7 linked regions of the Oryctolagus cuniculus genome follow. The protein of the gene in region 2 interacts with the protein of the main gene of each other region in a biochemical or structural test. Links are inferred from orthologs where the notes say so. Each region holds a gene or a part of one and is shown on either strand. Other genes may lie near its edges. The genes, in order: UBE3A, UBC, KHNYN, UBXN7, BRAP, UBE2K and EPN1.

Evidence for each region.
Region 1: of the proteins of UBC (region 2) and UBE3A, one has a biochemical effect on the other in vitro, tested with the Homo sapiens proteins (5 studies listed by BioGRID, with this or other methods). The link is inferred for Oryctolagus cuniculus from reciprocal best matches to the Homo sapiens genes UBC and UBE3A.
Region 3: the proteins of UBC (region 2) and KHNYN form a complex in vitro, tested with the Homo sapiens proteins (3 studies listed by BioGRID, with this or other methods). The link is inferred for Oryctolagus cuniculus from reciprocal best matches to the Homo sapiens genes UBC and KHNYN.
Region 4: the proteins of UBC (region 2) and UBXN7 form a complex in vitro, tested with the Homo sapiens proteins (4 studies listed by BioGRID). The link is inferred for Oryctolagus cuniculus from reciprocal best matches to the Homo sapiens genes UBC and UBXN7.
Region 5: the proteins of UBC (region 2) and BRAP form a complex in vitro, tested with the Homo sapiens proteins (3 studies listed by BioGRID, with this or other methods). The link is inferred for Oryctolagus cuniculus from reciprocal best matches to the Homo sapiens genes UBC and BRAP.
Region 6: of the proteins of UBC (region 2) and UBE2K, one has a biochemical effect on the other in vitro, tested with the Homo sapiens proteins (18 studies listed by BioGRID, with this or other methods). The link is inferred for Oryctolagus cuniculus from reciprocal best matches to the Homo sapiens genes UBC and UBE2K.
Region 7: the proteins of UBC (region 2) and EPN1 form a complex in vitro, tested with the Homo sapiens proteins (6 studies listed by BioGRID). The link is inferred for Oryctolagus cuniculus from reciprocal best matches to the Homo sapiens genes UBC and EPN1.

The regions. Positions count from the first base shown.
Region 1 is NC_091443.1:14,372,259-14,376,558, forward strand, and holds the start of UBE3A (ubiquitin-protein ligase E3A), read right to left. Parts: upstream 2,801-4,300; 5' UTR 2,696-2,800; coding exon 2,676-2,695; exon of another isoform or gene 855-2,675; intron 184-854; exon of another isoform or gene 45-183; intron 1-44. UniProt on the Homo sapiens protein: E3 ubiquitin-protein ligase which accepts ubiquitin from an E2 ubiquitin-conjugating enzyme in the form of a thioester and transfers it to its substrates.
Region 2 is NC_091452.1:5,127,075-5,131,016, reverse strand, and holds the start of UBC (polyubiquitin-C), read right to left. Parts: upstream 2,801-3,942; 5' UTR 2,436-2,800; intron 1,982-2,435; exon of another isoform or gene 1,813-1,981; intron 1,667-1,812; 5' UTR 1,664-1,666; coding exon 1-1,663.
Region 3 is NC_091443.1:50,772,363-50,776,327, reverse strand, and holds the start of KHNYN (protein KHNYN), read left to right. Parts: upstream 1-1,165; 5' UTR 1,166-1,300; intron 1,301-1,776; 5' UTR 1,777-1,793; coding exon 1,794-1,994; intron 1,995-2,446; coding exon 2,447-3,546; intron 3,547-3,659; coding exon 3,660-3,790; intron 3,791-3,873; coding exon 3,874-3,965. Other genes in the region: CBLN3 (cerebellin-3), read right to left, coding at 46-345.
Region 4 is NC_091435.1:82,954,044-82,958,241, forward strand, and holds the start of UBXN7 (UBX domain-containing protein 7), read right to left. Parts: upstream 2,801-4,198; 5' UTR 2,718-2,800; coding exon 2,645-2,717; intron 1-2,644. UniProt on the Homo sapiens protein: Ubiquitin-binding adapter that links a subset of NEDD8-associated cullin ring ligases (CRLs) to the segregase VCP/p97, to regulate turnover of their ubiquitination substrates.
Region 5 is NC_091452.1:9,035,212-9,038,711, forward strand, and holds part of BRAP (BRCA1-associated protein), read right to left. Parts: intron 1,024-3,500; coding exon 660-1,023; 3' UTR 1-659. UniProt on the Homo sapiens protein: Negatively regulates MAP kinase activation by limiting the formation of Raf/MEK complexes probably by inactivation of the KSR1 scaffold protein.
Region 6 is NC_091433.1:33,602,561-33,605,608, reverse strand, and holds part of UBE2K (ubiquitin-conjugating enzyme E2 K), read right to left. Parts: intron 799-3,048; coding exon 699-798; intron 1-698. UniProt on the Homo sapiens protein: Accepts ubiquitin from the E1 complex and catalyzes its covalent attachment to other proteins. In vitro, in the presence or in the absence of BRCA1-BARD1 E3 ubiquitin-protein ligase complex, catalyzes the synthesis of 'Lys-48'-linked polyubiquitin chains.
Region 7 is NC_091449.1:3,324,471-3,328,437, forward strand, and holds the start of EPN1 (epsin-1), read right to left. Parts: upstream 2,801-3,967; 5' UTR 2,503-2,800; intron 2,183-2,502; exon of another isoform or gene 2,089-2,182; intron 1,722-2,088; 5' UTR 1,573-1,721; intron 1,384-1,572; exon of another isoform or gene 1,371-1,383; intron 1,149-1,370; exon of another isoform or gene 1,033-1,148; intron 482-1,032; 5' UTR 381-481; coding exon 153-380; intron 1-152. Other genes in the region: U2AF2 (splicing factor U2AF 65 kDa subunit), read right to left, coding at 3,484-3,618. UniProt on the Homo sapiens protein: Binds to membranes enriched in phosphatidylinositol 4,5-bisphosphate (PtdIns(4,5)P2). Modifies membrane curvature and facilitates the formation of clathrin-coated invaginations. Regulates receptor-mediated endocytosis.

The sequences.
Region 1 (4,300 bases), on a different chromosome or scaffold from region 2:
TTCCATGACTATTACAGTATAAAAAAAAAAAAAAAGCCTGTTACCTTATTCATTTTTATAAACAGCATTAGTCAACCACTGCTGTAAAGTAATCCAACAGCGGCTGGTGTTGTGTTGTAGTGGATAAAGCCACCACCTGCAAAGCTGGCAGCTCATATGGGTTCCAGTTTGTGTCCCAGCTGCTCTACTTCCAATCAAGCTCCCAGTTAACGGCCTGGAAAAAGCAGCAGATGATGGTCCAAGTGTCTGAGACTCTACCAGCCATGTGGGAGACCTCAATGAGGCTCCTGGCTTCAGCTAGGCCCAGCCTTGGCCATTGCAGCCACTGTGGGAGCAAATCAGCAGACAGAAGATCTCTCTTTCTCTCAAACTGTTACTCTTACAAATAAAAAATACACAAATTTATTTAAAAAAAAAATGTACAGCAACATAATACCAATTTCTAATGTTTCAAATTCGTAATAAAGGTTAAAAAAATTTTCTTTGAAGTCAAAACCTGTATATCAAATTGGTACTATAAGGACTTGATTTGTGAATTTATCAGACTTCAGATATCCAACTTAAAAAAAAAAAACTTAAAAGAATTTTAAAATCAGAGTCATTAGAAGAAAATGTTCCCCAAATTTATGGGCTTCAAAAAAAAATTTTTATTAGGGTTTCAAAGTTACACTCACTGTAGTCTATTCATATTCGAAGGACGCAATACTCCAGCAGCTCAAATATTTATTTTAGATCTTTCCAGTATATTTAAATTTTATAGAAAATTGTTTAAGAACTAAAAACCGGAGCATGCTGGAGGTGGTAGTGACTTTGAAGTTACACAATGTAAAAATTTCACTCTACCCTCTCCCCAGGGATCAAGCAAATCACCTCTGTGACACACCTGGTCTCTACCAGCCTTGTGGGGTAAGTACCCCAAGATTGCTTCCAAACTAGTATCTTTTAGACAGAAGAGCTAAAAACTGATGATATGCCCATGTACCAGCTGATTCATTTTTGCCAAGTGTGACCCCCTAGCATCAGATATCATACTATAAAGAGACAGAGCTGGCTTGCAAAACAAAAACTAAATTCGTGCTGGCACTGAGGGAAGACGGGCAGATTAGAAGCTTTCAAACATGTAGGTATCAAACTCTAAAAATTATCAGGGCAAGGTGAGGGGAAAAATGGGACTTAATGATAGGAAAATTAAAATAGTACTGCAAAAAAAGGAAAGACACAGCCAAAAAGGAAAACAAGCTCAAACCTTAAAGTAAAACATATAATGGCTGCAAAGTCTTGAGATTCTGAAACAGGACAGAGATAAAGTTCAACATCAATTTTTCCCAATTTCTTTCCCCTAAACAGTATGTGATCACTTGTATCAAAATGTCACTATTGTTATACTAGATAATTACTTAATATCTATGTATGTTAAAGTGAGTTACTAAAAACCGTCTATGAGTCAAACCAAATAATTTAAACCAATCCAGTCTAGAAAAAGAACAAAACAATAAGAAAAAATTGAAAAATTTTCCTTAAAATAAATCTATTCTGGGTCTCATATATAGCATATTACTTTCTATTCAAATAGGAAATGTTTTTTAAATCGAGAGAAAAATGAATATACAGAGAATAAACACTCTTCTTGCAGTATTAATGATCCATTTCTCAATAAATTTCTAGTCATCTTGCTTAAACATTTCAATAATATTTTAAAGTTACCAAAAATTATCCTAAAGTTAGGATACAAACTCTTCAAACTATGAAACACACAAAGGCACTTCAAAAACTTTGTGGAAAAATGGAATTACAATTTTGATACAGAAAAACTTTTAAATTTTTACATGTTTTTTTCAGGACATGAATTTTTTTAAGGCCCCCTTATACAACAGTTCCCACACTCTACTCTGGCTCCTTCAGAGCTTATTTATTCTTTACTGCTAAGATGTTGGGAGTTACAATCCACTATGTGCTCATAATTTTACTAAATTAAAAAAAAAAAAGCCATTGTTATCTTAAACCAGCAGAGTAACAAAGCAGAAAGAAAATTTTAAAAACGAAGCCATAACTAAGTAGTATTAAAAAAATAGAAAATACAGCTTAGAAAAGTCTCAATTTTAAGTCTTGATTTGAATAGCAAAAAGTATGATCACAAAACACCCACTAATCTGAATACTGCAGCATTAGCTAGCAAATTCAAACGGTGGCTCACTTCCAATAATACTGGGTGCAGCTTCTCCATCCTGCAAGCCACTCCTTTTACCTCCACTGTAACTCTCTAGGAGAGAAAAGTATACTAGTTTTATTAAAGTTATAAAAATTTCTAGAAACGTATCTTAATTAAAACACCCACCACGTAAAAGACACACTTTAAAATGTTTATTAAGAAATATTACAAATCTCCTTTACAATGTATATAATAAAATGTTTATATGTTACAACTTGAAATTTTTTGAGAAATGCTTTCCTGTTTATCCACACAGATAAGTCTTCAGTGGTGGCTACTGATATTCTGAATGAGGGGAAAAAAATAAATATTTCAGAATGAGACTAAATGAAGAAATAAATCAACTCTTAGGTCCACTATTCTTGGCAGTGTTTCTGCCAACTACACATTTTCTCCATTTTTACAGCATGTATTTCACTTTACAATGGCAGCCTTTTAAAGGCTCTAACATAACATTCAAAATTACCTTTTACAAGCTGTGGCCATTCGGTGACATCAGGGTGATCACAGCTTTGAGTCACTGATTAAAAACAGGTTGGCACACCAGTCTAGCTGCTAACTTGATCTGAGCGTAGGCTTAATAACTCTAATAAATTAAACAAATCTTTAGTTAGAACACTTTAATATATAAATCCAATTCATTGTTCAAATAATAATTTGAAACTTTAAATTAGGTGTCAATGCAAAATTCATCAGAAGAATAATTACTACAAAGAACTATTCTTCAGCATTTTGTTTTCTTAAATGATATTTTCATTGAGAAAACATGGTATAGGTTGAACATCCCTAACCTGAAAATCCAAAATGCTCCTAAATAATCTGAGGGCTTATTGGGAGCATTTTGGATTTTCAAATTATAGAATTTTTCAACCAATAAAGTCTATACAAGTATTCAAAATCCGAACAACTCAGAAATAAAGCATTTCTGGTCTCAATTATTTCAGACAAAGGAAACTCAATCTGTGATAATACCTTCTACTTCTGTGTAATGTTATGAGTTTACAAAGCACTCTGCTTGGTAATTACCTTGAATCTCAAGACAACTTGACTAACTAATAAAGCTATTTCATACATAAGAACTTTAAAAAATCAAGCAGCCTCAGAGTGATTAACTGACTTGCCCAAGATTTTAGAATTAGTGCTGAAACTAGTAATAAAATGCAAATTTACTGAATAAAGAAGTTTGGATTTTGGAGGCTGAATTTTTATTTTGGTTTAGTTTCGCTACTTAATGTAAGAGCAAAAAAATTAGGACATGGATTGAGACCTCAAAATTATGGCAACAGGTTCAATATGACACATTTTAGTGATAGGGTTCTTAAACAGATGAAGAAAACAAATCACCAAAAATGAAAATGTTTAAAGAAATAGTTATATACATACACACGCACATATACAAACCAAAGTGTTACTTATTCCATATTTACGTAGATTCACCACACATTAGCCAAAACTCCTTGGTTACTGCATGAAAATACGTCCTAGTCTTTCCAGTCAAACTCATTAGATTCAATTTCATGAAAGATTATGATAAAACTATGAAATTATATCCTCCTTTCAACCAAGTTATCTTTTACCCCCTTTTAAGGTGGCCTCAGCTAAATTTTCCTAATTGTCATGGTCCAAATTTTGCAGATCTCCTTAATTATACTACAGGTTTTGGCAAGCACAGCATACATGTGATATAGCCTTGTATCAAGAGATCCTTTCAAACTATTAGTTTTTCCTCTTGTAATTCCCCTACTGAACTGCATTATTCAGGCACTATCTGAGGAGCAACTAAGGGAAGATGAGAAAATTAGAAGGGAATGATCTTTCATAATTAATGCGTTCAAACTAACAACAGACAAGCACAGAAGGCAGTTACCAGCATGGACCCAGAGCCAAATAAAAAACATCAAGGTATCTGAGAACCCATAGAGAAGTGCTGACACATCAATGCTTGAGCCTGTACTTCCATAGCTATGAACACAGGGCTTTAAATCCAGATGAAGGTGAGGAGTTGTCTGAGTATATGTAAATAATCTCAGGAAATGCCCATAAATAAGACTTACAATCACTATAAAAAGATGAGAATACTTCAAAAAGTTC
Region 2 (3,942 bases):
TGGTGTCACTGGGCTCCACCTCGAGGGTGATGGTCTTGCCGGTCAGGGTCTTCACGAAGATCTGCATGCCACCTCTGAGGCGCAGCACCAGGTGCAGGGTGGACTCCTTCTGGATGTTGTAGTCGGACAGGGTGCGGCCATCTTCCAGCTGCTTGCCGGCAAAGATCAGCCTCTGCTGGTCGGGGGGGATGCCCTCCTTGTCCTGGATCTTCGCCTTGACGTTCTCGATGGTGTCACTGGGCTCCACCTCGAGGGTGATGGTCTTGCCGGTCAGGGTCTTCACGAAGATCTGCATGCCACCTCTGAGGCGCAGCACCAGGTGCAGGGTGGACTCCTTCTGGATGTTGTAGTCGGACAGGGTGCGGCCGTCTTCCAGCTGCTTGCCGGCAAAGATCAGCCTCTGCTGGTCGGGGGGGATGCCCTCCTTGTCCTGGATCTTCGCCTTGACGTTCTCGATGGTGTCACTGGGCTCCACCTCGAGGGTGATGGTCTTGCCGGTCAGGGTCTTCACGAAGATCTGCATGCCACCTCTGAGGCGCAGCACCAGGTGCAGGGTGGACTCCTTCTGGATGTTGTAGTCGGACAGGGTGCGGCCATCTTCCAGCTGCTTGCCGGCAAAGATCAGCCTCTGCTGGTCGGGGGGGATGCCCTCCTTGTCCTGGATCTTCGCCTTGACGTTCTCGATGGTGTCACTGGGCTCCACCTCGAGGGTGATGGTCTTGCCGGTCAGGGTCTTCACGAAGATCTGCATGCCACCTCTGAGGCGCAGCACCAGGTGCAGGGTGGACTCCTTCTGGATGTTGTAGTCGGACAGGGTGCGGCCGTCTTCCAGCTGCTTGCCGGCAAAGATCAGCCTCTGCTGGTCGGGGGGGATGCCCTCCTTGTCCTGGATCTTCGCCTTGACGTTCTCGATGGTGTCACTGGGCTCCACCTCGAGGGTGATGGTCTTGCCGGTCAGGGTCTTCACGAAGATCTGCATGCCACCTCTGAGGCGCAGCACCAGGTGCAGGGTGGACTCCTTCTGGATGTTGTAGTCGGACAGGGTGCGGCCGTCTTCCAGCTGCTTGCCGGCAAAGATCAGCCTCTGCTGGTCGGGGGGGATGCCCTCCTTGTCCTGGATCTTCGCCTTGACGTTCTCGATGGTGTCACTGGGCTCCACCTCGAGGGTGATGGTCTTGCCGGTCAGGGTCTTCACGAAGATCTGCATGCCACCTCTGAGGCGCAGCACCAGGTGCAGGGTGGACTCCTTCTGGATGTTGTAGTCGGACAGGGTGCGGCCGTCTTCCAGCTGCTTGCCGGCAAAGATCAGCCTCTGCTGGTCGGGGGGGATGCCCTCCTTGTCCTGGATCTTCGCCTTGACGTTCTCGATGGTGTCACTGGGCTCCACCTCGAGGGTGATGGTCTTGCCGGTCAGGGTCTTCACGAAGATCTGCATGCCACCTCTGAGGCGCAGCACCAGGTGCAGGGTGGACTCCTTCTGGATGTTGTAGTCGGACAGGGTGCGGCCGTCTTCCAGCTGCTTGCCGGCAAAGATCAGCCTCTGCTGGTCAGGGGGGATGCCCTCCTTGTCCTGGATCTTTGCCTTGACATTCTCGATGGTGTCACTGGGCTCCACCTCGAGGGTGATGGTCTTGCCAGTTAAGGTTTTCACGAAGATCTGCATTGTCTGTTATGAGAAAACACACAAAAAGAAACAAAAAAAAATTCAGCAAACAATTCACTAATATTCCTAAAGACTGAATATCGTCTATTTATCTACACTATTAAAATTAATAACTTGCTTAGGAACTCCAAAGGACACCAAACACAAACCTGAAAAATTACTTCAAAACCCCAGCCTCAGACCCTTCGTTATGAAGAAAGCAGGGAAACGTGACCAGTGAACTCAGGGCTTTTCCGTCCCTCCCCCCTTCCGGCTCGCGTTCCCGTCCACTCAGCAGGATCTCGCCTAGGCCCTAACCGTGTGTCTTGCAACTGACAGAAACCGACGCCACCCACACCGGGAGGCAGCCCCGCCCTGCTCTGTGTGCCAACACGCGGGTGACGTCACGGCGCGAGCCGCCCCCCACCCGCTGGAGCAGCCCCGCGCCGAGGCGCCTCCCTACTCCCCAGCCCCTAACCGGGGCCCAGCGCTGCCCGTCAGCCCCGCCACACCGCTCCCCCACGTCTCCAAACGCGGCCCGGCGACGCCGCCTTCCGCTCCTCAGACCCTCGCGGCGCTCGGCGCTCTCCGGCCCCTGTCCGCCCTGCACCCTGACCTCCCGGCTCGGCGGCGCCGCCATCTTGTCGGTTCTTCCGCCTGCGGGGCGACCCCAGCCGACTACCCGCCCGGGAGGGCGTCCCGCCCGCGGCGGGCAGCCGCACCGCCCTCCTCCCTCACGGCCGAGAGGCCGCGGGCCGCCCCCACCCCGGCCAGCACGACGAGGTCCACTCACCAGGCGGCGGCGGCGGCGGCGGCGGCGGCGGCAGCTGTACGCAGGATGAAGGCGACCGAACTCCGGCTCCGACGGAACTGGCTGCGCCGCGCCCGGCGCCCGCTTATATAGTCCGACGGCGAGCCGCCGCCCCGGCGAGATCCCTCCGCAGAAACGCCGAGAAGGAACTACTTTCCTCAGCCTCTTCCGCCCTCCGGGAAGGAACCCTGCGCCCGGGGCCGTCGGCCCCCTCACAAAACGTTCTCGGGTCGAGCCCGGGGCGGTACCGCCGGGCCCGGGAGGGGAGGGGCCGCCGCCCTGAGGGGCCCGGCGGAGGGATCAGGGCGTTTGCTGCGTGCTGCGGCCGACGTGCGGGCGCCCGCCCTGGGGGAGGGGAGCCGGCGCGCGGGCGGCGGGAAGACCCGGCGCGGAGCCGGGCGGCGCCCGGAGCGGGCGGGCGGCCGGGGGCTTCGGCTCCGCCCCGCGCCCCGTCCCCTCGGCCGCAGCGGCCCGTCGGTGGGCGGCCCGCGGGGGTTCCGGCCCGGCGCCCCCTCCCCGCGCGCGGCCCGCTCTGTCCCCGGCCCGCGACCTCGAGGGGCTTTCTGTGGGGTCGCGTCTGAGGTGACCGCGGTGGTCTCGTCGGGGCCGGGCCGTGACTGGGCACATCCGGGCCTCGCCTCCGCGGCCCACTGTGTCCACGGCCCGTGACCTCTAGGGGGCTTTCTGTGGGGTCGCGTCTGAGGTGACCGCCGTGGTCTCGTGGGGGCCGGGCCGTGACTGGGCACATCCGGGCCTCCCCGCGCGCGGCCCGCTCTGTCCCCCCGGCCCGTGACCTCGAGGGGGCTTTCTGTGGGGTCGCGTTTGAGGTGACCGCCGTGGTCTCGTGGGGGGCCGGGCCGGTGATTGGACACATCCTGCCCTCGCCTCCGCGGCCCCGGCCCCGGCCCCGGGCCGCCGGCGCGCAGACCCGCGGGGAGCCACGGCGGACCCCGACAGCGCTGGCTGGTTGCGGCTGGTCGCGGCCGCCCAGGCTCTCCCCGGAAGCCGCCGCCGGAGGCGCCTGGTGCGGCCCGGGCTTTAACCTGGGCCTTTTTACGGACGCGAACCGAAGCTGCGCTCTGTGTTTCCGGGATCCGATGCATGAAACGCGCACCTCGCGTTGTGATCACAAGGGGGAGGGGCACGGTCAGCCACGGGGTCGTGTCCTGGTGTTTGGGAGAATCGTGGCGTCGACCAGCAGGTGAGCTGGAGGCTCTTAAACGTTAGCGGTGGATTTGCCCCCTCGTGCCCCGAGTCCCCCCCTCCCCACGCTGTGCTGTGCGACTCTTCTAGAATGTTCCATTGCCACGATGGGGCGGAGGCGGGACCACAGCCCCTCCTTAGAGGGGAAGACCGTTTTACAAGTGTCATGTCACCGAGAAGCCCCGGCAGAACAACCGCTGTGTGGTTGCTGTGGTAACCTGCGGCTGTGTGGATCTGGGAAGATCTACCTGAGCATTGTTAGAGGACTTTTCCACCCCTTAAACCC
Region 3 (3,965 bases), on a different chromosome or scaffold from region 2:
TTTGCTGGGTCTTTCCAGATCCTCAGGACAGGGTTAGGGGATTACCTGGTCAAAGTAGATGGCCCCAGTGGTGCCATTTCCAGTCTCCCCAGCTGGCTCGTGGTGGTGGCTCCGGACCGCAGCGAATGCCACTCGTCCAGGGGGTGCCTCTCCCAGGGCTGCACCTCCAGGCCCCCCTGCTGCAGCTCGGCCAGGCTCACAGACCACCAGGCATTCCCCCTCCAGCAGAACAGGCTCAGAACCCTCCTGGGCCCACACGGCCCCCAGGACCAGAAGCACTAGGGCCAAGCACAGCCTGGATCTGTGCAGGGCACCTGGGAGCTGGTGTCGCTTTCCTCTTGACATAGCTGAGTGGTTCTGCCACCCCTAAGCCCCCTGTCTCCTACCTCTTCCTGCTCCTTTCTGCTCCCACTCTGCCCTCTCTCCAGGTCTCACCACCACCTGGCCTTGGTACCTCCCTCCCATACTGCTCTATGTCCCACGCGCTGTCCTGCCTCCCACTCTGCTACTCCTGCTGTCACTGCAGTCCCCTCCTCCTTGGCAAAGCATAAAGTGACAGCAGTTGGGCCCTGGGAGGGAGAGGAGGGACGATGCCAGGGCGGGAGGCCTGCAGCCAACCCGGAGCTCCAAGGCAGCCCCTCTGGAGAGGTCAGCAGGAGGCTGGACCCGGGCGGTGGAGAGCAGGGTGGAAGCTCCTCCAGCCCCCACCCCCATCCTCCTCACCCCTCCTCTCTTCAACATCCCCCACGGCGGCATCTTTCCATTTATCTTTTCCAAAACCACGGCTGTTTTTGGTGGCAAAGCACTTGGGCCAAGAGCGTCACTATCTGGTGACCTTGGATCAGTCACTTTCCCTCTCTGGTTTAACACAGCCTCAAGGACCAGCTTTCCACCAGGGGTTCCTTCTTCCCGAGAAACAACTGCGCAGAGCGTGGCGGGAACCCCAGGAACCCCGATAGGCCGGGGAGCGAACCGGTCGGCGGGCGCGGGCGGATCCCCGAGGGCGTGGGGGGTGGGGCGGGGGGCGGGAGCGCTCAGTCCGGCCGCGGGCCAGGCCCGCTGCAGGCCCAGCCCCGGGAGGAGCCGCGCTGACTCCGCCCCAGGCCAGGAAGTGACTGAAAAAAACAATTTTGAGATGTGGCGGAGAGAGGTCCCCGTTGGGTGAGCAGCCCGGGAAGGCCCGCCCAGATTCCGGCCCCCTGCCCTTGTCCCCTGGGCTGGGGGCGCGGGCGCAGCCGGGGGCCCGGAGGGCACCGAGAGGCGCCAGCGGCACCCGAGGCCGAAGCAGGCGGCCGAGGAGGTAGGTGCCCGGGAGCACGGAGCCGGGGGCCGGGGCGGGGAGCGCGGCCGCAGAGGCTGTGGGCGGGTCGGGCCCAGCCCCTGGGCCCCCGGCGGGGCGCGTGGCGCGACGGAGGGGGCCGCGGAGGCTGGGGGAGGGGCGGTGGCGGGGCGCGGGGGGCGTGGCCGAAGCCTTGGAAGTGGCCAGCCCGGGGCCCGGAGGGCAGCGGGCTTCATTTTTAAGAAGCCACTTGGGCCCCGGAGGAGAACCAGCCCCCGGCCCGCCGGAGCGCCTCCCTCCCTGCTCGGGGTCGCTTAGGCAGCTGGGTCCGGGTGACGTCCCCTAGGAGAGGACGCTGCCGTTGCCTCCCTGTCCGGGAGATGGACTCCTGCTACCTCCTGGGGCTGTTTACCGAAGTCGTGACTAATGCGCGACCTGTTGATGGTTGGTGCGGGCGAGGGGACGGTGAGACTCTGAGCCGCCTTCTCCCCTTCCAGGGCCGGGCGCAGCAGCCATGCCCACCTGGGGGGCTGGTGCCCAGTCCCCTGACCGCTTTGCGGTGTCTGCGGCGGCAGAGGACCGGGTGCGGGAGCAGCAGCTCTGCGTGGAACGCATCTTCGGCGTGGGGATGAGCGTCCTCCCTAAGGACTGTCCCGAGAACCCTCACATCTGGCTGCAGCTTGAGGGCCCCAAGGAGAACGTGAGCCGAGCCAAGGTGACGCCTCCTCTCCGCGGGTCGCTCCAGGGCCCCGGGCTCCTTCCCCGGTGGAGGAGGGGCCTGGGGAGGTGCCTACAGCCTCGGTGCACCTGGGCTTTGCAGGACTCCCCGCCTCTGTTTGTAGTTTTGGTTTCGTTTCTGCCGGGGGCAGTCCAGGTTCTGTCATGACTTGGGAATGAGTCACTGTGTGCCCTCTGGGATGGTAGAGAGAACGCAGCTGACCTAGTGGGGCCCCCACCAGGGAATTCACTGCGGGGTGGAGGTGTGGCCTCATGGCTTCCTCTGGAGTCAGGCTGGAGTTTTAGCCTCAGTTTCTTGATCTGTAAGATGGGGATAATAGCAGTGTCCCTCTGGATAACTCCAGGCTTCACACCAGGAGCTCAGGGGAGAGTCTTGGCCTGAAGTCATTGAGGATTCTAGCAGCCTCTTCTGTCTGGCCTTTCCCACAGGAGTACCTGAAGGGGCTGTGTAGCCCGGAGTTGCAGGAGGAAATCCACTACCCACCTCAACTGCACTGCATCTTCCTGGGAGCCCGGGGCCTCTTCCTGGACTGCCTGGCCTGGAGCACCTGTGCCCACCTAGTGCCTCGGGCGCCTGGCTTGCTGGTGGTCGGTGGCCTGACTGAAGCCTTTGTCATGGCTCAGAGCCGGGTGGAGGAGCTAGTGGAGAGGCTGAGCTGCGACTTCCGGCCCGGGCTTTCGCCCGGAGCTGGAGTGACAAGCAACTTCTCCGCCCTGCTGCAGTCCTGGCCGGATGACCACAGGGCCGCCCTGCTGCAGCTGCCCCTGGCTGTCCAGGAGGAGCTGTTGAGTCTGGTGCAGGAGGTGTCCAGGGGGCGTGGGCTGCAGGTGCCCCCGTCCTGGGAGGGGAACCCCAGGGAGCTCAGAGCTCCCCCAGGGGAAGCCAGAGGCTCCCTAGACATGGGGTCTATGGGGCAAGGAGATTGCAGGATGGCAAGGGAAGAGGGTCATGCTATGCTGAAGGAGGTGGGCAGACTGGGTGGTCCCAGGGAGATGGAGTTGAGGTGGAAGGAGCTGCCTGGGGGAGAGGCCTGGGAGAGAGAAGTAGCTTTCAGGACACAGACAGCAGGTGGAAGGACCGGGGAGGAGGGACCCCTGAAAGGCAAGGCCCCGGGGAAGGAGGGAGTGCCCCAGGAGAGAGGAGGGCTCAGCGTCCAAGGTGAGCCTCCTGGTGCCCACGGCCCCTGTCAACGGGCGGCGCAACGGGGAGCCTCCCTCCTCCAGCGGCTCCACAACGGGAGCGCCTCGCCTCCAAGAGTGCCTAGCCCTCCACCCGCCCCTGAGCCCCGCTGGCACTGTGGGGACCGGGGCGACCGCGGCGACCGGGGCGACCGGGCAGACAAGCCGCAGGCTGGGGCTCGGGGCCGGGGCTCCCCGTGGAAGCGAGGTGCCCGAGGTGGCAACTTGGTGACCGGCACGCAGCGTTTCCAGGAGGCCTTGCAGGATCCCTTCAACCTGTGCCTGGCCAACGTGCCTGGCCAGCCAGGCCTCCGCCACATTGTCATCGATGGCAGCAACGTGGCCATGGTGTGAGTATGGGGGGAAGGGCGAGGGTCCTGGGGAGGGGATTGAGGCAGGCCTCTCTGCCCGCCTTGGGGACACAGGCTGAGGGTGTCCAGAGCACTGACCCTTCCCGCTGCAGGCATGGGCTCCAGCACCACTTCTCCAGCCGGGGCATTGCCATTGCCGTGCAGTACTTCTGGGACCGTGGTCACCGGGACATAACCGTCTTTGTGCCTCAGTGGCGCTTCAGTAGGGATTCCAAGGTCAGAGGTGAGTGCGGCCCCGGCCACCCGCGTCCTGGCGTGGGCTCTGTCCGCGCCTTGAGCTGCCTGTGTATTCCTCTCTTTCTGTAGAGAGTCACTTCCTGCAAAAGTTGTACTCCCTCAGCCTGCTCTCGCTCACCCCTTCGCGAGTCATGGATGGCAAGAGGATCTCCTCCTACGAT
Region 4 (4,198 bases), on a different chromosome or scaffold from region 2:
AACATATCATCTATTTATATAATATAAACATAAATTTATATTTTAAATATATAAAATTTATATTTATATTCAATATATAGATATATTTATATATTAATATATAAAGACATATTTATGTTTATATATTTTATAAAATAAAAAATACATGAGAATTCACATTTTAGAATGCTGAAAAGTTCATTCTAAGGTATGTGGAAAAAGGCTTAAAGCAGGGGTGAGGAATGTCCAGGCAACAAACCATACAAGGCCAGGGAAATCATTTGGTCTGGCCCTGCCAAGGCAACGGCCAGTGAGACTCGGAATTCAATAAATCTATAGCAGGCTAATTTTCAAGCTGATAATTGTGTATGGCCCGCAAATGATGTTATAAATATCCAAATCGCCCTTGGCAGAAAAATGGTTCCTCACCTCTGGCTTAAAGGGATCATGTGTTTCTAATGGCTAATCACCATCTAGTAAAAACAGACCCAAAAATTATCAATAGAAATTCACTGCACATCAAGAACAGTGTAAGGTTATTTGCCATTCTGTAGAATTCCAGACACCACTGGTCTACTGAGGGACTTCTAATCAGACTCAGCAATACAGAGACCTGCAACCAGGAAACAAGCTGTCCAACTGAAAAACAGCCCTATAGCAAGTAAGGAGTCAATCTGTCTCACCATACTTTGAGCTTTATGTATATCTAATAAAAATGTTGCAGGAGAAGAGAGTGAGGAGTGGGCATCTGGCACAGCAGTGAAGACCCGGCTTGTGATGTGCACATCCTGTGTGGCACAGCTCAGCTGCAGCCCGGTTTCCTGCTAACCCGCGCCCTGAGAAGCAGCGGGTGATGTCTCGGGTACCTGGGTCTCTGCTACCTCATGGGAGACCAGGATGGAGTTCCTGGCTCCTGCTTCAGCATGGCCCAACCCCAGCTACTGTGAGCATTTGGAGAGTGACCCAGCAGCTGGAAGGAAGATACCTCTCCCTTTCTCTCCTTCTCAAATAAAATAAAGATTTAAAAAAAAAAGTTAATAGTAAGGGTCATATATGAAACTGCAATTAAATGGCATTTTAAACCATCTCTAGAAAATCTAAAGATACATAAATGTGCACTTTAATTCTACAAATATAATGTAGCATACTAACTTATTTACACAATGATTTTCTGTCTCTGTAACAAATCTGGTTAAACACTGGGAAATCCATTACAACTTTAATAAACCAATCACACGTTTAAAGATATTATGAAAAGCTACCACTCACTCCTCATCACTCTTTCATCACAAATTTCCCTTTACCTACTTTGACGTCATGTTTCATGCCACAAACCAGATAACAACACATCAAACATGCAGTTATCATTGCAGAGCAAATAAATAAATAAATAAAACTGCTTTCGTTATGAAACAGCAACTTCAATAAAACCTGTACTGGGTAAAACAACCTAAAAATCTACTTAACCATATCCTGCATGTCCAAGTATGACCCGGTGGAAACATTCTCTGTGTCTAACAAACCGCTACCACACGAAGTACAGATCTGTTAAGAAAAGGAACTAACATTCTGACCTCCTTCCAAAATGACAAACCAGAACGGCAAAATTACACTCAGGCACATGGAGTACTCGTCTCTCAAATCACTCCACGGAGAACTTCATCATTTGCTCCGCCCTCTAATAACTCATGCAAAAAAAGTTCAGCACCATCAGAGAGAAACAAGACCTAGAGAATTCATAGAATGGCTCAGGGCCTCTCCTCCAGGCGGTAAGACCTGTCTGGGCCCTTCGCAGGGGTCCAGAGCAAAGGGAAAAACCAGGCCTAGGGTTTTGGGGGACACTAACCCCCAGCCGCACATTTTCTCCCCGAGAAGTTTCTGCCGTCTTCCCTATTCTATCAGCAGGAGGCCCCGGCGCCATGGTCTCAATCGTTACGATTTTATTATGGGGAGGTGGGAAACGCCACCCAGGACTCCTCCAGGCCTCTCGTCTTCAGCTTGGGGGTGCCCCCTCACTATTCTCCTAAAGCCTCGGTCTCTAAGGTACTCCTCGGCACCCCCATTTCTGGCGGCCTGTCCCCTGGGATGTGTAAAGGCGCCGCCGTACCCCTCAGCCTCCGCGTGAAGGCGGGAGGGCCCGAACACGCCAGGGCCACACCGATGGCTCCAAGGGGCCCAGAAAGGGGAAGGGCAGGCCAGCGCCGGGGGAGGGGAGGGTTCACGGGGAGAGGCTGACCTGGCCGGGAAGAAAGGGAAAGGCAGGTGAGGGGATGCGCGGCACCCCAGGACTGCACACTGAGGAGACGATGATGGAGGAGGGCGGTGGCCCGGGTGCGGCCCCCCACTCCTCCCCGCCCCCAGGTCCCCCGGCCGGCGAGGGCGGAGGGCCCGACCCATCCCCTGTCTAGGCAGGCAGGAGGTAAAAGGGGCTATCCCTTCGAACTGCGAGGAGATCGAGGAGGAGGGTAAGGGGAGCGCGCGGGGGGGTGTCTCCCGCCTGAACCCGGAGACCCCGACGCCGTCGTCGCCTCTTCCTCCGGAGGGAGGACGAGAGCTGTGGGTGAAGCCCGAGGGAGGGACGCATGAAGGTAAGGGGCGAGCCCGGGGCAGACCCGCTGCCCGCTCTGGACCCCACTCTCCACCTTCCGGTAACCGCGTCTCTTACCGGTGATGGCGGTGAACTGCTGAATTAACCCCCTCAGCGCCGAGGACGCCGCGGAGCCCCCGTGGGCAGCCATCTTACCGCCGCCGCCGCCGCCGCCGCCGCCGCCGAACAACAACACAGACACACACGGACCGCCCTCCCCCACCTCGCCGCGCGGCCTGCGCAGGCTCATTGACCGCCCCCAGGCTCCGCCCCTCCGGGCCCCCCGCCCCGCGGCCCGCGCAGGCGCACTGCCCACCGCGCCGGAGCGCTCTGTGCGCTCCGCGGGTTGGCTGCTCTGTTGCTGCCTGCTGGCCGCATCCTCATTGCAAACCTCTAGCGCCTGCCTCTCTGAGCTGCCAGGCCAGCTTGATGGACTCGGTTTGGAGTCCTGGCTTCCGTAGTAGGTCTTTCGAATGTCTATTAAACAAGTTTCGTCGATAGATCCAACTGCTGATGGTGGCGTTTATCCTTTTGGCAGCTCCACTGCACGCTACTGAATTTCCTGCGGTTCCCATCAAAAATAGAAATCCTACATCTTAGCGCCGAAGCGGCTTCCTAACCTCTATAAACTAACGGCCTAGCTAACCTAGCGCAGCAGGAGTGAAACGCCAGAAACCCGCGCGCCAGGGAGGCGGTGGGAGCGGGCTCCGACACACGGGAGGTTTCATGGAGGATTGTTCGTTTGCTTTGCGTCACTGAACTTGCCAACGCAAGTCTCCCCTCAGGGTCTCGCTGAGTTTCCTCACCTGTGAAATGAGGACATGGCTTTGGCGTGAGGGAAGCAGCGTGGTTAAGTCGTGTGTAACACCGTCTCAGCAACACAGTGCCCCTGTGGGTAGTCCCTGAATTCTGAATAGTGAAAAAACTGTATAAAGGGGGTGTGACCAGATGGCTTTAAAAAAAAAAAAAAGGAAGTGTTTTTGCGCCAAAAGAAAATGTACAGAAAGGACCCTGGAGAAGTGTCCCAAACCTCAATTAATGGTTGCTTCTAGAGAGGAGAGCGATAGGGAGAATTGTGAATGTGGACTTTTTTTTAAATCCTTTATTTTTAAACAAAAACATAGTAGTGTCACACGATTTCAGATGGTATTAGTGTTACTTGCATAGTTTTAAATATTTTTAGGACAATTTTGTGTGTAGAGTACACTGAAATCGGTTGACACTCCCCAAATTGAAAATAAAGTTAAAGACATGGAGTTTATGTTCCAGCCTCCCACCTCCATCTGCATATTGTGCATCTTTACAGGAAAATGGTCCAGTGAAAGATGGCATGAGTCATCTGGAGAACTGACCCAGTAACAATGACTGTGCCTCTGCTGCAGACCTTGCCTTAAACCTGCTGGGCCACAGCACCAGCCCTCCCAGTGGCCTTTTATTTTATTTTTATTTATTTATTTATTTATTTGACAGGCAGAGTGGACAGTGAGAGAGAGACAGAGAGAAAGGTCTTCCTTTGCCGTTGGTTCACCCTCCAATGGCAGCCGCGGCTTCTCCTGGTCTCCCATGGGGTGCAGGGCCCAAGGACTTGGGCCATCCTCCACTGCACTCCCTGGCCACAGCAGAGAGCTGGCC
Region 5 (3,500 bases), about 3.9 Mb from region 2:
CTGACACTGGGTCTACTCAGTCGGCCCCTGGTGATTTGTGCTTTCTGGCTAGCCTGAGAGCAAGAAGAGATGGCTGCTGGCCACAGGCCAGTGCCGGCTTTACAACCCCAGTCTCTTTTCATCCAACATTCAAACAATTCTTTAACTCCCCAGAGGGAGGGAGGGAGGGATGACAATGACAGGAGACTAGGCCAGGGAATTTTCCTAACTTCTCCGTAGCCAATGGGAACCACCTTCAAAGCAGCTGTGGCCACCTCAGGGAGGTGTGGTGCTTTAGTGCTAGTTAACAATACCTTTGAGGTTACAAAAAAAAAAAAAAAAAAAAAAAAAAAAACAACCTTTAATGTCTTAAACCTACCCCAGAACTGTATGTCAAGAATACCAACTCAATAAATACAAGAGAAAAATGAACAGCAGAGTTGGGACATCTACCAAGCAGGAAGGCAAAGTGGTCATCAGAACGTCTGAGGTTAGTGAACTATTCAACTTTCCATCAGCTCTCCCGTCGGCACCCTCTACATTCCACACACCGCACACCAGCAAATGAAAAAGCCGAACGACTGTGGCGAGATCCTCACTTGCACTTATTAGGGCCCACCCACACAGGGAGCTGAGGGTCCCGGCACACCCCCGTCTCAGGAGGTCTGTCTCTCGGAAGGTCACTTGCCTCTCTTGCTACGGCCCTTCCTGGAGGGCAGCTTCCCAGGGCCCCCTGACGAGGAGGGGCTGGAGGCAGCAGCCACGGGGATGTTGATCTGTCCCTCCTGGATTTCCTGGCGTGCCTCAGCAGGCAGGTGGTTGATCTTCTGCTGCGCCTCCAGGTAGAACATGACATCACGCAGCTGCTCCTGGATCTCTGTTATCTGCAAGTCTTTTTGGTCACAGGTCTCCTTCAACACCCTCTCCTCCTCCTTCAGCTTGTTCTGCAGGAGGACCTGGTTGGCTCGCAAACATTTGTTCATTTCCTGCTCCTCTTTAAGTTCAGTTGTGAGTCTGGCCACTTTTGTGTTTAGCTGAGTGCACCTTTTGCAAAACAAAGGAAGACAAAGCACATTTTCATTTGCTGACACAGTCCTCTTTCTGCTCTGGGATTGCACAGAGGAGCCACAGCCTCAGAATCCACTGAGAACAGACCCCTCCCTCCTGCGCTGTTTGCCGACCTTGCAGTCAGCTGCACAAAGCAAGAATTTTGCTCCAGTTAACCCAAGTGTTCAAGATACTTTTTGTTTTAAGCATCAGAAGTTTTCCAATAGCAGAAACTACTCTGTGACTCATGGCAAAACTTCTGCTCCTCTGAGGTCAGTGGTTAAACAGGTGCCTTAGAGACAACTGTGATAAGGAAGTTATGAGGATAAGTGACATTCTTGAAGAGTCAAGTGCTCTGACCTCACTGCATTTGCTGGGGAAGGGAAAAAACGTGCTTATTCTAACCAAAGGGTTTTCAGGATTTGGGAGTGTCCCATTCTTGCTGCCCAATCTTACTCATAAGGGAGGAATTACAAATTAAAACACCATCTGAGATACCATTTTTATGTATCAGAATGCCAGGGAGCTTAGACATGGGAAAAGAGGCACTCCTACACACTGGCACTGCAGCATCAGCTGGAGAAAGACTTTGGAAGTCAACTTGGCAATGGCTGCAGGAGGAGAAAATTCACAGGTCCTTTGACACAGGTGAAGTAGACAGGCATACAGGTTAAAATTGATCAGACTAGTGAACTGGAAAACCACGCCCCTGTGTGACCTCATGCTCCTACCTGATGCCTTTGCCACGCCCCTATGTGGCCTCATTCCCCTACCTGGCCACACCGGGGTGCCCACCAGCCAATCAGGTTAATTAACCACTCCCCTTTGGAAGTGGGTTAAAAGCCTGGGGCACCGTGTGCCCGGCCCTGCTCTTCTTCCCTGACCTCTTGCCAGGACAGGGCTTGCTGTAGCCCTGCGCCTCCAGGGTGCGTGGCCTTTGGGCCATGTGCTCTAGGCTTCCCGGCCTAGATGCTCATCCACGTGGCTGGTTCCTGTGCTTGGTATGAACCCCTATTCACCTCTCTCCCCTAAATAAAGCTCTCACTCTCTTATGCACCTTTCTTACTAAATAAAAGCTTAAAACATACCATGCTGCCTCGTTTATCTGTGCCGGTATTTAGAATTCTTCTCTAAATACTAGGCAAGAACCCTCTCGGGCTTATTAATATCGGGGATTTGGTAATAAGTCTAATAATCGTAATAATCGTAAGGCACCCCAAATTCCAGTAGCGCATGTGGCACCCCGGATAGCATTTCTAGTGAACTTTAAGGGGCCACATTTCAGCGTAAATTTCAGGGGGTGTTGTCTGATTTCACAGGTATTCTATATAATAAAAATATTCAGGACTATGCAAAAAGACACCTGGAGAAGATGCTTAGCACAGCACTGACTGTAACAGTGTAAGACTTGAGCTCACTTAAGTGTCTATCATCAGGGAGCTGATTAACACTGGATGGGCACGGGCAGAGTGGTTAAGATGCTGCTTGGGACATCCACGCCCCATATCAAAAGTGTGCCTGGGTGTGTCCTGGCTCAAGTTCCATTCCAGCTTTCTGTTTCTAATCTGTACCCTCGGGGCAGCAGATGATGGATCAAGTACTTGGATTCCTGCCCCAATGGAAGACCTGGACTGAGTTCCAGGCTCCTGGCTTTTGCAGGTCCAGCCCCAGTTAGTGTAGGCATTTGGGAAGTAAGCAGCAGATGGAAACTCTGTCTCTGTCTCGCTGCCCTTTAAATAAGTAAATTAAAGTGAAAATTACTATGGTGTATTCATATATTGGAGTACCAAGCAACTGATACAAAGAACATGAATCTGAATGTGTAGTATGAAAAAAAAAGGGGCCAGCACTGAGGCGAAGCAGGTAAAGCCACCGCCTGCAGTGCCGGCATCCTGGGTGGGCACCGGTTTGAGTCCCGGCTGCTCCACTTCCAATCCAGCTCTCTGCTATGGCCTGGGAAAGCAGTAGAAGATGGCCCAAGTCCTTGGGCCCCTGAACCCACATGGAGACCTGCAAGAAGCTCCTGGCTTCAGACTGCCACAGCTAGGGCCGCTGCAGCTAGCTGAGTGAACCAGCGAATGGAAGACCTCTCTCTCTGCCTCTCCTTCTCTGTGTAACTCTTTCAAATAAATAAATAAACAAAAAGATTTTGTGAGACATGTGGGCAGAGCTAGAGGTCTAGAAGACTATTCACTGGCACCATCGATACTGGCTGCCTCCAGGGCTGGCGCTGTGGCACAGTGGGTAAAGCCGCCGCCTTGACCCACCATCCCGTAGCAGAGCACTGGTCTGAGTTCCAGCTGCTCTGCTGCTGACCTAGCTCCCTGATGATGAGCCTGGGAAAGCAGTGGAAGATGGCTCAGCTGGCTGGCCCCTGCCACTTGTGTGGGAGACCCAGGGAAGTTGGATCAGAAACAGAGGAGCTAAGACTCAAACCAGGCACTCCGATATGGGATGCAGGCACCCTAACTGCT
Region 6 (3,048 bases), on a different chromosome or scaffold from region 2:
TCAGGCATTTCATAAACAGAACTTCAGGAACAGTGACTGTTCCCACCATACCTGCGCTCCCACCCACACTCCCACCCCCTTCTCCCTCTCCTATTCCCCTTATTTTAAAGGGCCAGATACTAATCATTTAGTGCTTTCAGACGACAGTCTCTGTTCACCGCTGCCCCTGGAGTGGGAAAGCAGAGTAAGCAAAATGGTGTGGCATTATTTCAATCAAGTATTGGCAAAACTTAATTCGCTGATCCCTTGCCTTAGAATGATCAAAGAGCAGAACTGAAAAATATTTCTTCCATTTGTCAAATTACAAGGCCACGGCCATGCCACTTTGAAGCCCTGGTAGGAAGTGACTGAAATGATCACCAGGGAGAGATCTGCACTGAACAGAAGGAAGGACAGGTGCACAGAGGCACAGAGGGTCATGTATGAAAAATGGGAATCAGGTATGGATGCTCATCATATAATTCTTTTGACTTTAACATTTTTATATATTAAGAAAACAGTCTCCACCACATAAACCTGTAAACTAGTATGTTAATCAATAAATGTTCATCTTTACATCTGACAAATCTTACTACAAGAAAGGACACCTTTTCCAAATTCAGTTCCAATAGAATATGTTCATGTGTTAACACCGCAAACCACAGAAGTACAGACTCATCTATGTGTATAAGAAAATCTTTCAGAAGCAGCCATCGTACCTGATTTGCTACTACTGCATCTTGTGGGTCATCTGGTTCTGCAGCTGCCAATAGTGCTTGCAATGACAACAATACTGTGCGGAGAGTCATTGCTGCTGCCCTAAAATAAGAAAATATACCAGTTAGGAAGCCTGTGTTTTGTGAGGCAAAATGGATATGATCTGAATAAAACATAAACCACCAGCAACTTTTTATCTTAATTACAAAGTTAGGGAAATTTACTTTTTTTTTTTTTTTTTTTTTTTGACAGAGTGGACAGTGAGAGAGACAGACAGAGAGAAAGGTCTTCCTTTGCCATTGGTTCACCCTCCAATGGCCACCGTGGCTGGCGCACCACGCTGATCCGATGGCAGGAGCCAGGTACTTATCCTGGTCTCCCATGGGGTGCAGGGCCCAAGCACTTGGGCCATCCTCCACTGCACTCCCTGGCCACAGCAGAGAGCTGGCCTGGAAGAGGGGCAACCGGGACAGAATCCAGTGCCCCGACCGGGACTAGAACCCAGTGTGCCAGAGCCGCAAGGCGGAGGATTAGCCTAGTGAGCCGTGGCGCCGGCCCTAAAAGAATCTTTAAATGTAAAGTTTTTGAGCTGAACCCAAATCAATTATAAGCAATGACACTGTCTTAAGAATGAATTAAGAAAAGTAATACCAAAATAAAACCTATTCTTATGACACCAATCTTTTATGTTATTAAAAAAAAAAGGCATAGAAAGCTTTGGACTGCTCTACATATATTTTATTATCTTTTTTAAAGATTTATTTATTTGAAAGGCAGAGTTACAAAGAGGCAGAGGCAGAGAGAAAGAGAAGTCTTCCATCTGCTGGTTCACTACCCAGATGGCTTCAACAGCTGGAACTGTGCCAATCTAAAACCAGAAGCCAGGAGTTTCTTCTGGGTCTCCCACGCAGGTGCAGGGGCCCAAGGACTTGGGCCATCTTCCACTGCTTTCTCAGGCCATAGCAGAGACCTGGATCAGAAGTGAAGCAGCCAGTACCCGAACCGGCGCCAATATGGGATGCCGGCACTGCAGGTGACAGCTTTACCTGCTACGCCACAGTGCCAGCCCCTCTACATTAATTTTAAAATATAAGTAATGTGGAAAAGTATGCAACTGAAAACCTTTTTATTCCATTAATTCTTTTCACAAAGTACTGATTAAATCCATGGTATACTGAGATTTTTAGTATTCAGTGATAATAGTTTAAATCTATTAAAATAAATCCTAATAGCAAAGAAGAAAATGAAATTTGGGGCTGGCTTTGGATTGGCACAGCTCCAGCTGCTGTGGCCATCTGGGGAGTGAACCAGCAGATGTTAAGACCATTCTCTCTCTGTGCCTCTGTCTCTCTGTAGCTCTGCCCTTCAAATAAAGGTGTTAACTTTTATTAATTAGTAGATGATACAAGTCAGTAAAAGATAAATCTAAAGTATTAATACTGCTCAAATTGATAAGCATAGCCAATATGGGTACTTATTTATTCACAAAGTACTCAATAAAGTCTTACAATAACCATCTAACTGTTCATATTGTTGACCGACTTTTCTGTTAAGGATCTTCCAGAAGATCAAAAATTAACCCACGTTCATTCCAAACAATTCTACATGAAGAGAATGGTGTTTGTTTTGTTACAATTGGTTAAGTATAAGAAGAGTAAAATGCTGTACAGCCAGATGGATTTTTATGCATGTCTATGTCCATGTAACCATATGGATCAAAATGTAGAGTACTTCTAACATTGAAAAGCCTCATTCCTCTCCCTCTCCAACTCCTGCCTACACACACCAATGCCCTAATTCCCACCACCATAAATTAGTTGTGGCTTATCTTGAATTTCAAAAAAAGCTAACCATACAGTATATCTTCTTGTGTGTCTGGCTTTTGTCACTCAACATATCTGTGAAAATAATCCATACTGTTTCTGTCAATAGTGTGCTTGACTTTACTGCTCTTTAGTGTTCCATTGTATGATTATACTCAATATACTGATTCTCTTGTTGATAAGTCATTTCAGTTATTTCCAGGTGTATTCTGCTGCGTGTATTCTTATGTAAGTGTTTTTGCATTTCTCTTCGACATATATCTAAGAGTAAAACTGCTGAGCTACCAAAGTTTTATGTTTCACTTTGGTAGATACTACTGGTTTTAAGTGGCTGAGCCACATTCCTACCAGCAATGTATGAGGGATGCAGATGTACAGGTACACAGTGGTATCCAATTGTCACTTTAATTTGCATTTGCATTTTCCTGTTGACTAATGAGGTAGAGAACAGCTTACTGACCACATCTAGATGTTCCCACAGCAAAGTATCTGTTCATACCTTTAGGAAGGGCAGGATTACTAAGTGCAA
Region 7 (3,967 bases), on a different chromosome or scaffold from region 2:
TGCCTCTCAAACAACAAACACTTTTAAGTAGATTTAAATCACAAAGCCCAAAACCTTTAGAAAGGTCCTGCCTGTTGCCTGCTAAGTGCAGAACACCCGGCCCCGCCCCGCCCCGCCCCGGCCCCGCCCCGCCCCGGCCGCGCCGCGCCCACCTTGTACACGTGCCGCCAGTTCTTGCCGTGGTCATTGAGCCGCTTCCAGATCATGCTCATGATCTCGGAGAAGGCCACGACGTTGTAGGTGAGGTCGGCGATCTCGGACATGAGCGAGCTGGACGGGCCCCAGGGGTCATTGCTCGTGGCCTCGCGGACCTTGATCTCCGCCTCCGAGTAGTTGTGCACGATGTTCTTCATCTGGCGCCGCAGCGACGAGGTGGACATGGTGCCCGGCGGCCGCGGCGAGGGGCGCGGGCCCCCCGGGCTGTGCAGGCGGGGCGGCGGGCGGGTGCCGGCAGCTCACCGCATCTGAGAGGGGAGAGGACCTTGGGAAACAAACCAGACATGGTCTGCCTGGAGCCTGAGCTCCCACGCCTCCCGTGGCTCCCCGCTGCCCTCAGGGTCTCAGCGACGAGACCCCGTCGGCCTCCGCTCTCAAAGTTCCCATCCTCCTTTCAGTTCCCCAAACGGGCCAGGCCCCTGCTCAGCGAAGCACAGCGGAGCGGCAGATGCCAGGCAGGGGCCCCAGCCGGCCGGGCCGGGCGCAGCCCGCGCGCCTCCAGACCCAGCGCCCCCGCAGGCGGAGAACACCTGCGCCTCCCTTCTCTCTGCCGTGAAACGGGGTGCATGCGGTAAACCAGGGAACACACAGGCCACCGGCGCTGCCACGAGGCCCTCTGGCCTGCCACGCACTCTCCACCCCGCCCCGCCCCACGGGCTCCGCCTCACTGCCCGGCGCTGCCCCAGGGTCACGGCAGTACCCGTGACTGCGCACGCTGTCCCCTTGCACGGCTAAAGCCAACCACAAGCCCCGGCGGGCCGTGCGCACCGTGACTGGAGGGAGCTCTTCCCATCAGAGGCTGGCCCGGAAACTCACTCAGTCAACAAAGTGGGAGCCAAACGCCTCCCCAGGCAGGGGTTAGGGGAGCTGTGGCAGCACGGGGCACAGACGAGGAGTGAGGAGTGAGGTCCCCGAGCAGAGGGCGTGGGAGCCTGAGGCCCAGGGAGCGGAGATAAGGGCACTCAGCCATTATTATCTCCCACAACACCCTGCTGCCCAGAGGTTAGATAACCACCTGCACCCCGGCCTCCCCCCGCCTGCGCCGGGCCACCCTGAGTGAGGTCCCACACTCACACGGCCCTGGCCCACCTGAACCCCGGCCTCCCTCCCCCGCCCCCTGCGCCGGGCCACCCTGAGTGAGGTCCCACACTCACACGGCCCCGGCCCACCTGCACCCCGGCCTCCTCCCACCCATCACCCTGAGTGAGGTCCCAGCACTCACGGCCCCGGCCCACCTGCACCCCGGCCTCCCCCCACCCATCACCCTGAGTGAGGTCCCAGCACTCACATGGCCCCGCCACACCTGACCCCCGGCCTCCCCCCACCCATCACCCTGAGTGAGGTCCCAGCACTCACACGGCCCCGGCCCGTTGGTGTTTTCCATGTATCCTCTGTCCTTCCACGCCCGGATTCACCGCCACCCTGGAGGGGACCAGAGAAGGGAACTCCCTCGCCCGGGGCACGCACACCTCTCCCGGCTGAACTCAGGGCAGAGAGCCTGGGGCCTGGAGACAGAAGGAACCAGCTATAAGGAAGTGGCCGGGGTCCCAGGACAAGCCCACCCAGGAAGGGACGTGAGAAGGAGAGAGGGAGGGAGGGACAGGCACAGACCAGGGGACGCACAGCCGGCAAGCTGGGAAGACAGAGAACCCAGTGGCCTTGACACAGGGAGAGGCCTGGGGCGGACACGTAAGACGACGGGAGAACCGGACCGTAACCGGGAGACCCCGAAGTCTGGGGTCTGATCTGGGCCAGCCCAGCCGCCGGCACCCGGCAAGCTGGCCGCAAACGCAGGCCGGGCGCACAAGGCGCAGAGGGCCGGCCACGGCCACCCCCGGGCCCGCAGGGCGCCGAGCCCAAGACCACACACACCGCTGCCAAGGCGGCGGCCTTCCAGAGTTCAAGGGACTCGGCGACTCCCGCGGCTGCCGCCCCGCACCGGCGCCCACCGCCGCGGCTCGCACGCGGAAGGGCGGGCGCAGACCCCGGCCCGAGCCGCTGGGGCCCGCGACCCGCACGGCGGCTTGGGGGCTGCAAGTGACAGGCACGGCGGCCGAAATGACAAGGGCAGCCCGTGCAGCGCGGGGCGCGCACAGGGGGCTCCAGGCACAGGAGCCCGCAAAGTCACCCACGAAACCCTGGCCATCGCGGACCACCGCCCGCAGCGACGCGGGCTCGGACACACACGCACGGCACGCCCCGGCACGCAGGCCCCACACCCAGAGGCCGAAAGGCGACGGAGAGGCCCGGCCCGGCCGGCGCCCCCGCGCTCCGCCCTGCGCTCACCTCGGGCCCTCCTCACGCCGGGCTGCGGGGGGTCATGGCGGTCAGCCCCTGGCCCCGGTCGGCCTCGGTGTCGCGGGGCGCGCGCCGGGCCGCGGGCGACGGCGCACGCGCGGACAGCCGCACGCCGACGGCCCCGCCGCCCCGCCGCCCGGGAGGGGCGCAGAGAGCCGGGCGGGGGAGGGGAGCTGCCCGGAGAACGGGAAGCAACCGTAGGCGGCGACGGGCCGGAAGCGGAAGTGTCGCGCGCAGCCCCTCCGCGCCGCGCCCGACGGCCCCCGCTCGTCGGCCCGGCCCTCCGGCGGCATCACTTCCGGCGCGCGCTGTCGTCACTGGCGTCCTGACGCCACTTCCGGCTGCAGCCACGAACCCACGCACCCACGCGCCCGCCCGCCGCCCGCCGCCCCGGAGCCGCGCCGAGTGCCGCGCGCCCGCCCGCCCCGAGGGGCCGCCCCCGCCCCCGCCCCGAGGCGCGGCTCCTGGGACCCTCCCCGCGCCCAGACCCGAAGGCCAGGAGGCCGCTGACACCGGACACAGAGCACCGCCGCCAAGTAAAATACAACAAAATGTTTAATGAGCAAATTCGTCTTAGCAAATATGAAACTGCCACAGAGGGGGCGGGGCGGCGGGGCGGGGCCAGGGGCGGAGTCAACTACGTAAGAAACCAGGGCCGGGGCGCAGGGCACGGAGGGCCGGACAACGAAATTCAAAATAGTTTGGCCATAAAATATAAACACGCTATGTTCCTACGTGGGAGGGGAGAGGGCTGGGGAGGAGAGGCTGTCGGGAGGAGCGCGGGGCCGTCCCCACCCCGCCCGTGCGTGGGTGCGCGGGTCCGCGGGCCGTGCGCCGCCCGCCCGCCCCGTCGCCGCCGTCCAGGTGCTGCCGCTGTCGCTCGGCCGTCACTCCTCTGCCCTTCTTCGGAGGGGAAAGGGGTGGAGGGGGAGCCGCCCCCGGCCCCGCCCCGCTCCGCCCCCACCGCCTCTACCAGAAGTCCCGGCGGTGGTAGGAGTCGGGGTCGCAGTACTTGGTGACCACCACTCTGTTGGCGAACTTGCGGCCAGTCAGCCCCTGCATGGCTTTCTGGCAGTCAAACACAGAGGTGAACTCCACGAAGATCTGCGGGAACAAGAGGCGGCCCGTGAGCGCGGCCACTCGGGACGGCCCAGCAGGCGGCACAGGGCCCTGCCTCGCCTGGACCCGACGGCCCGGGGTGCCTGGGCCGGTGACGGCCGGCACGCAGGGCGGGCAGACGGAACCCGGCCGGCCCCAGAGCACAGGAACACCCCACCGTGCGGGCCGCGGGTGGAGGACAGGACGGGCAGCCCGGGCCGGGCCACCTTTCAGTCCACCCCAGAGGCCCAGCCGCCCAGCACCGACATCCAGGCAGGCCCCCGCTTCCTGCAGCCTCTGCTGGGGGGCAGAGCTGGCTCCTCCAGCCCACCGGGCCATCTGCTCCCCACACCCG